2 linked regions of the Ovis aries genome follow. The protein of the gene in region 1 purifies or fractionates together with the protein of each later gene. This does not show direct contact. Links are inferred from orthologs where the notes say so. Each region holds a gene or a part of one and is shown on either strand. Other genes may lie near its edges.

Region 1 (3,500 bases):
GTGGGGAGCACTTATAGAATGGTATATTTCATCACTGTTGATGTTAATAAGAAGAAATAACCCGGTACCTTACTGTGGCTGCAGGAATCGAGATGTTTATTCCAATGTCCCCATTCTCACAAGAGGCTGGGCCACTTAAATGGCTGTCTGGAAGATGGAGAATGCCAGATAATAATAATAACTAACATTTACTATGTGCCAGGCACCACTCTAGGAATCCTAACATTTTGTTAGAACCTCCCAACAACCCTGTAAGAACTAAGTTAACCTGACTTTCCAGATGAAGATACTGAGGTTCTTAGAGGCTAAATAACTTGCCTAAGATCACAGTTAGAAGGTGACAAGTCAAGATTTGAATATAGACAGTCAGGCTTCAGAATCCACGCTCTTAGGGTACAGTTAACCCCGACTGTACAACAGAATTACCAGGGGAGATGAAAAAATAGTAACTCTGAGATTTATCCAAACCTACCCCCTACTCTAAATCGATCTGTGAAAGGCAGCAGGGTTATCTGGAGTTCAAGAACACAGTCTGAAGCCATGCTGCCTTCTGGGCCAAAAACAGGTTGTAATGAGCCACTGATAGTTTAGGGAGATCTACGGTCTTTTATGAGTATCTTCAGAATCATGAGATCAAGACTGTTTTTCAAAAAGCATTTTTTTTTTAATTAAAATTTAACCCCAAAAGAAGAGGTCCTATTCAGGAGGGTATCATATTCCCATTTTATGAACAAAGAAAATGAAACCTAAAAAGGTTCACTAACTCCCCCACATTCACTAAGGAACTGAGACTGGATCCCAGGAGGGCTCCGGGCTCAGAAGAGCCCCAGCACAGGTGGGAAGAGAGACTGACGAGGGTAATTAGGGATGCTGCAGAGGGCGTGACATCTGAACCAGACAAAGTGTGGGACAAGGAAAGACGAATCAGCAGGGTGACAGGCATGAACGAGATCAGAGGCAAGATGCCACATGGAACGCGCCCAGGACTAGAAGTAAACAGGCGCGGTGTGAAACCACAGTGCGTCCAAGGTGGGGCTGTGGGAGAGGCCTCAGACGTCTGTGTGGGTCCAGTGTGCGGGCACACGAACGACCAGCTGCACAGCTGGCCCTGGCCTTCACAGGACTTTTCCTGAAACAGACAACCACTCGAGCAGATGCCTGGAAACCTAGCCTGCGAGGCAAGCAAGGTCATGTTTCCAAATTGAACACGATGCAGAATAAAAACAGTGAAGTAGCATCCAGAGTTGAGCTACTCTGACCACTGGGAAGGACTGAGGCGGCCTGGGTCTCTGCTATCATGTCATACATTGTAAGGCAACAGAGCAAACAGTTAAAAGCAAGGCTTTAGGGTCAGATAAATCTGAGTTCTAATCCTGACTCCACTTTTACTAGTTGTGTAAACCTGCGCATTTATTTAATTTCTTTGAGCCTGTTTCCTTCTTTGTAAACTAGGGATAAAAATATATTCCTCGTGGGGTTGTTGTGAGAAATGAGTACGAAACAAATATGTAATGTGCTAACACAGCGCCTCATAAGAGAGCAAGTTCCCGACAAATAGTAGCTACTCTTCCATTCATTCAACATGTTTTTATCAAATAGGCAAACCTAGAGAAACTCATACAGCAGAGCACAGACCTTTAACGTGCCTTCAGATGGCTGCCTATTAAAGCCCTTCGCCAAGTCTCCAATTTGCAAATACAACAAAGGCAGATCATTTGCATTTACGGGATAATAAACATGGCTGTGAACTCACGAAAAGGGAAGCAATAATTTTCCCTTCTATTTATAAACTGTCTTCAAAATCTGGGGTAGGTTATCATATTTAAGAATTCAGGGTGAGTTTCAGGAAGCAAAATACTTAACCTTAATAAAACACAAAAATAAAGTAAAATCACAAACCTGGATCAACAGAAGTATTAACGGTATCCCTCACCAATCTGACTCCTCTAAAAGAGTCTCACTGCGATACACTCCTGCTACATTTAAAGGCAAAGAAAAGTGAACACTTCTACAATAAAGCAGAAAATGAGTAAGAGTCCCACAGAGCCACAGTTCTAATCGCCGATCTGCCACCAACTCCATGAGGTTCTCTGGGGCTCCTTAGACAGTATCCTGAAGTTCTGACACAGCCAAATGAATACACACACACACACACATACACAAAACACTGAGACACAGCTAACGCAGCTCATCGCTAACAGGCCACCTCAGAAGCGGCGAATTCACAAGTTCCACGTGAGGTGAGGCCAGAAGCACAAGGCCGTGGCAAGGAAACTGCGGAAAACTCCCCCCAAACACCCTGTACCTTTCTTCATCATGTCTCGGTCCAAGGCTACATTTCTTTGGGCAAGATTTACTTCTGATCGAAAATGGAAGCGCTTGGCTCGCTGCTCCTTCTTTTCAATCGCTTCCTAGAAGGTGCAGAAAAAAAGCCAAAGAAGTGAAATGTGGAGGAGAGTTAAATCACAAACATCACGTGATACACTGGCTTGACAAGCAACTCAGAAGGTATGAACAACACTGTGCCTTGCCTCATTGTTGCAATGAACAGGGTATTGGCAATGGCTGGCAGAGTGGGCGCTAGCAGTGCTGCAATCTGTCATCATCTCGAGGACGACTCAGTGCCTATCAATGTATCTGTGCAGAAACCGGGGCACAAAAAAGCTAAAATGTTTGCCAGGGGCACTTCAGCTGGTAAGGGGCAGATCTTCTCAGCGCTATTTCTAGAAGCCCCACCACCGCCCCCATTTCACATCGTCTGTGTGCATGGTAATCACACCTATCACGTTATGTCTGCCTGAGCAGTCCACTCCCTAAAGCTTTTTTTGTGTTTAAAAATAACACTGAAGCCAAGAAACTCTCTCCTCTATTCTAAACTTGTGTCCACAGAATTGCCAGTTTTCATCTTGAAGTGAAAAGAAGCACTGATGCTTTCTGAAAAACCAAATAATCAGCTTCCTAATTTTTTTTTTCCCCAAGAGCTAAAATATACCCAGGTCCAACTGTGGGTTTCTGATAGCTCTTTGGAACCTTCACTAATTGTATATTGACTTTGCCACACTAATTGAAGGTCTGACTATAGAAAGCTTCTGGGGATTGGTAAGGCAGCAACACTTCTGTTATTTCCCAATAGTTATGTTAATTTTCTCCACTGAAGTCTTCCCACTGGAAACAACTAGTTTACCTTCCTTTGGTAAGAACCAAAGTACCAATTCTTGGCTACCACCCTTTCCACTATATATTTGTTTCAAATAATGGTAAATTGTGTAGGCTTAAGAACAGGACTGCATACTGCTTTTTCAGTTTCAGTAAGAAAACACCTTCACTTCATTCTATTTTCCTGTCAAAAAAGATGATCAGTTCTTTCTTTTTGCCTTTAAGCAATCTGAGACAGATTGAGACCCAGATAAAACACAAAAAAATAAGCATGACATACTTATTTTTATTTTTGCTTTCATACATCCAATATAGTAACACCGTTTTATTTATTCAGAGTTTTA
Region 2 (4,165 bases), on another chromosome or scaffold:
CAAATTAAAAAACAATATTTACTAATCTGCCAGCAAAATTTTAACAATAAATAAAGGAAAAACATACTTACAATTTCTTCTTCTAGAACACCTCTAAAAGCCTGGTCAAGGGTACATTTTTTTTCATTTTCACTATTAAAAACAAAAAACACCTGCATTTTTAAAACAGCTCAGGGTAAGTATAAAGATTTCAATGAGCCCATGTCATGGATATTAATACCTTACCTTCCAGGTAACTGGCTAAAGGTATTCAACAAGGGCTTGATATTTTTGCTGTTCAGGGCCTCTCTCGTAGATTTCTAGAAGAAAAAAAAAAAAAAGCACATAAGTTGAAGGAATTTTTGTTCACTGAGAAACATACCACTCATTATTTGTATGTCTAACTAAAAAATGTTTATACCTGAGAAAAATTACCTGTCAGTTCAGCAGTAATTCTCATTCAAATGCTACTTTCTCATCACTTGAAGCTTGTTGAGAGCTTCCAAGCTCAGTTTTCTCATTCCAGGTTTTCCCGCCTACCTTTCCTTTAAATATGCTATTCATTCTGCTTTAAAAAATATCTCTTAAGTGGCCCCTTATTTATAGGTTTGGTTTCACAGCTTCCTCTAAAGGTCCTTAATAATGTTATCCCACTCAATCTATCCAACCTTACTTCCCAGTAACCCCAAACATATACTCTCCACTAGGCTGTAGCCTTTTTCCCATCATTTTCTATCAAGTTCACTCTAGTGTATCCATGCACATTGTTCTTCCCACACGCTCATGCAAATTCCTATCCATTCTTCAAGACTCAACAGAAGTCCCACCTCCTCTAGGTAGCTTGCACGGCACAGTCCCTGACATCAAGTAAACACTGATGTCTTAAAGTACTAAACCTGCTGACTGTCACAAAGTAGTCGTAACTGAAAAAGAAAAATACTGCCAAGTCATTCACTCTGTGAAAATTCACATACACTTGGAAAATCCTCTTGTTACCTCCCAGAAGTTACATTTATACTAGAAACGGTCCATTCCTGACTCTGTGAGTAGGCTGTGTAATCTTGGTGCATGCAAGCTCAGTGGTGTCCGACTTTTCGTGACCCCATGGACTGTACCCCGCCAGGCTCCTCTGTCCATGGGATTCTCCTGGCAAGAATACTGGAGCAGGTTGCCATTCCCTTTTCCAGGGGATCTTCCCCACCCAGGCAATGAACCCACATCTCCATTGCCTCCTTCACTGGCAGTTAGGAAGTTCGTAATCTAGAACATACCCCTTTGTCTCTGTGCTTCATTTTCCTCATCAGTTACATATCTGGGTTGTTGTAGATCCTTATTACCATCAGCAGCAGTGGCATCACCTGAGAACTTGTTAGAAATGCAGAATCTCAGGCCCCATTCCTACGGAACCAGAATCTCATTTAACAAGATCCCCAGGTGATCCCAACCCATGCTCAATCTTAAGAAGCACCGGGCTAAATGATCTCCTATCAAATGGTCCCTTCCAGGACTGATATGACCTTGGACACACCTAACAGTTTCTCCTCACAGAATTACAGAAAACTAGGGATGAACACAGTCAAACGACTTAGAACAGGGTTCTTCATTTGCTGATGGGCAACATAAAAAGATTACTGAGTCTGAAGTCAGAGAAAACAGTGAAGCAAATAATTTAACTTTTATGTTTTCAAACTATGGTGCTGGAGAAGACTCCTGAGAGCCCCTTGGACTGCAAGGAGATCAAAGCCGTCAACCCTAAAGGAAATCAACCCTAAATATTCTTTGAAAGGACTGATGCTGAAGCTCCAAACTTTGGCCACCTGATGCGAAAAGCCAACTCACTGGAAAAGACCCTGATGCTGGGAAAGACTGAAGGCAAGAGAAGGGGGTGACAGAGGATGAGATGGTTGGGTGGCATCACCGACTCAATGGACATGAATTTGAGCAATCTCCGGGACATGGTGAAGGACAGGAAGACTGGCATGCTGCAGTCCATGAGGTTGCAAAGGGTCGGACACGACTTAGCGACTGAACAACAACATAAGCGGGGGCTGGGGGGCGGGCTGTCTCAGTTTCTATCTCATCTACTGTGGATAATTAAACACCCTACTTCACAGAGCTATTCTGAGTTAAATAAGCTAAGATCAAAACGCTCTGTAAAGTGTTTCCCCAAATGCTTAAATTACTGTTCGCCAAGGCGGAAGAATAAAATGACAGTTGACAACCCTTCCCAAGCTGATCAGTTTGCCTCGCCCCACTTAGGACCGTCCTCATCGATCTCTAAGAGTGAGATACAAAGGGTTAAAGGGTGATGAATGAGCGGCGAGAAGAGCCACCTGGCAGTTAGAAGGCGGGGCGGGAGCCTGTTCTCTGGACTAAAACCATTCTCGCCTTCCCTCTAGAGAAGCCCCCTGCCAGTTCTGGAAACACCCGCCTGGCTAAGCGAGCACCGCAGAGAAGCAGGAACCAAAAGGAGGTAGTCTGCGGGTGAGCCCTCCACGGAGGGCGGAGGGTTCCGGGACTCGCCAGCGGAAAGGAGGCGGCGGACCGCAGAGGACTCTTGGAAGAGGCAGGTAAAGCGCCTTTGCCGCCTCCCCAGCCCACGACAGGGCCGGGAACCCGTCGCCGCGGCGCAACGCCTCTGTCCCCGCTTAACCCCAGTGCAAAATTCAAGTAATTTCAGGGAGAGGAGAGCAACAAATAGCGTTGGTCCGGGGCCGCGCCCACCAGCCCGCAACTCACCGTAAACCGCGTCCGCGCTTCGGGCAAACTGAAGAGCGGCGGCGTCGGAGACATCTTCTTGGCTGCGCGTGCCCGCCACTTCGTCGCGGCGCCCGCGGATGACGTCAGGCCGGGAGCAACGAGAGTGCCGGCTCCGTGCGCGGCTAGAGCGGCTTGTGGGCGCAGGGGCGGGTCCGGTGGCGTTTGGGAGCTTCCCTGGTGACGGAGGTCGGGAGGGTGTTGGAAGCTAGGGTTAGCCACTCAACGCCCGATCCGCGTTCGTGGTAACAACCTGTGGGGTGACTGCAGACTCGCGGCCTCGCGGGGGTTTTCCTGGTTTGGGAAGTCGGGTGAATGGCGGCTGGTTACGGCTCGATGGGCCGCAAGGGAAGGTAGTCGCTGTCTGAGAATCCAAGTCAGGCAGCTTATCCGGGAGCTCCGGGCTGGGGAGGTGACGGCAGTGGCCGTCGGATCAAAGTCCTTCTTCCCGCAGGAGTGGTCCCAGCTCCGGGTTCGCGCATCTGCCTTGCAGGTCGCGGGCCCTGTAGCTCAGGTGGGGTTCCATCTTCTGAGAAATAAAAATAATGCTTGTATCCCTGGGCTGTTGAGGAGCGTAAATGAAGTCGTGAAAGCAAGCGTGGCTTGTGTAGCAACGTAATGTGTGGGGATTCGTTCATTTTGCTGGCAGATAGAGCGCACTACTGAATGAGGAAGATTGTGGAGGAACTCAGTACTCGCCGCTGATTGGATAGTCGGTGGCGCCAAGTCCCAGGGTTAAGGCACCTGTTGCAAGACCTAGTCTTTTGTCCGGTTTCCTCCCTCGTCTCCATTCACTTGGCCAATGAGAAGCCAAGGGGCAGTCGTCTTTCCGTTGGCATTATGCGGTGGGGGAAGAAGCACTGACCCAAACACTTGCTACCAGCTCTTACCCACCTGCACGTGTTCCTAAGTGAAAGCCTGGCGCGCTTTACCTGGTTCCCTTCGTGGATATCCAGCGAGAGTACAGAATGCTAACAAAAATATAACTTTGCATAATCTTGTCCCTAAGTGGGAATTGTGAACAGTGATGGCTACCTGGAGCGTTGCAGGTTTTTTCAGAATCAATAGAATCGTTCAGGTTTGATTGTACAACGTACATTGCCAAATTGCTCAGATCAACTGGTATTAACTGATTTAAGAGCTGGTGTAATCGGATTGTTATCATATTATGGATGATTGTTCAATTCGGTTCATTCGCTCAGTTGTGTCCAACTCTTTGCAACCCTATGAATCCCAGCAGCCAGGCCTCCCTGTCCATCACCAGCTCCTGGAGTTTACCCAAACTCATGTCCATGGAGTTGGTGATGCCATCCAGCCATCTCATCCTCTGTTGTCGCCTTTTCCTCCTGCCTCCAATCCCTCCCAGCATCAGGGTCTTTTTCAATGAGTCAACTCTTCGCATGAGGTGGCCAAAGTATTGGAGTTTCAG

Evidence for each region. The genes of interacting proteins can lie anywhere in the genome.
Region 2: the proteins of NCBP3 (region 1) and THOC1 purify together in Homo sapiens (co-immunoprecipitation; 4 studies listed by BioGRID and IntAct, with this or other methods). This does not show direct contact. The link is inferred for Ovis aries from reciprocal best matches to the Homo sapiens genes NCBP3 and THOC1.

The regions. Positions count from the first base shown.
Region 1 is NC_056064.1:24,361,254-24,364,753, forward strand, and holds part of NCBP3 (nuclear cap-binding protein subunit 3), read right to left. Parts: intron 2,412-3,500; coding exon 2,306-2,411; intron 1-2,305. UniProt on the Homo sapiens protein: Associates with NCBP1/CBP80 to form an alternative cap-binding complex (CBC) which plays a key role in mRNA export. NCBP3 serves as adapter protein linking the capped RNAs (m7GpppG-capped RNA) to NCBP1/CBP80.
Region 2 is NC_056076.1:35,661,604-35,665,768, forward strand, and holds the start of THOC1 (THO complex subunit 1), read right to left. Parts: upstream 2,801-4,165; 5' UTR 2,773-2,800; coding exon 2,719-2,772; intron 2,550-2,718; exon of another isoform or gene 2,354-2,549; intron 1,345-2,353; exon of another isoform or gene 1,281-1,344; coding exon of another isoform or gene 1,251-1,280; intron 300-1,250; coding exon 226-299; intron 133-225; coding exon 72-132; intron 1-71. UniProt on the Homo sapiens protein: Component of the THO subcomplex of the TREX complex which is thought to couple mRNA transcription, processing and nuclear export, and which specifically associates with spliced mRNA and not with unspliced pre-mRNA.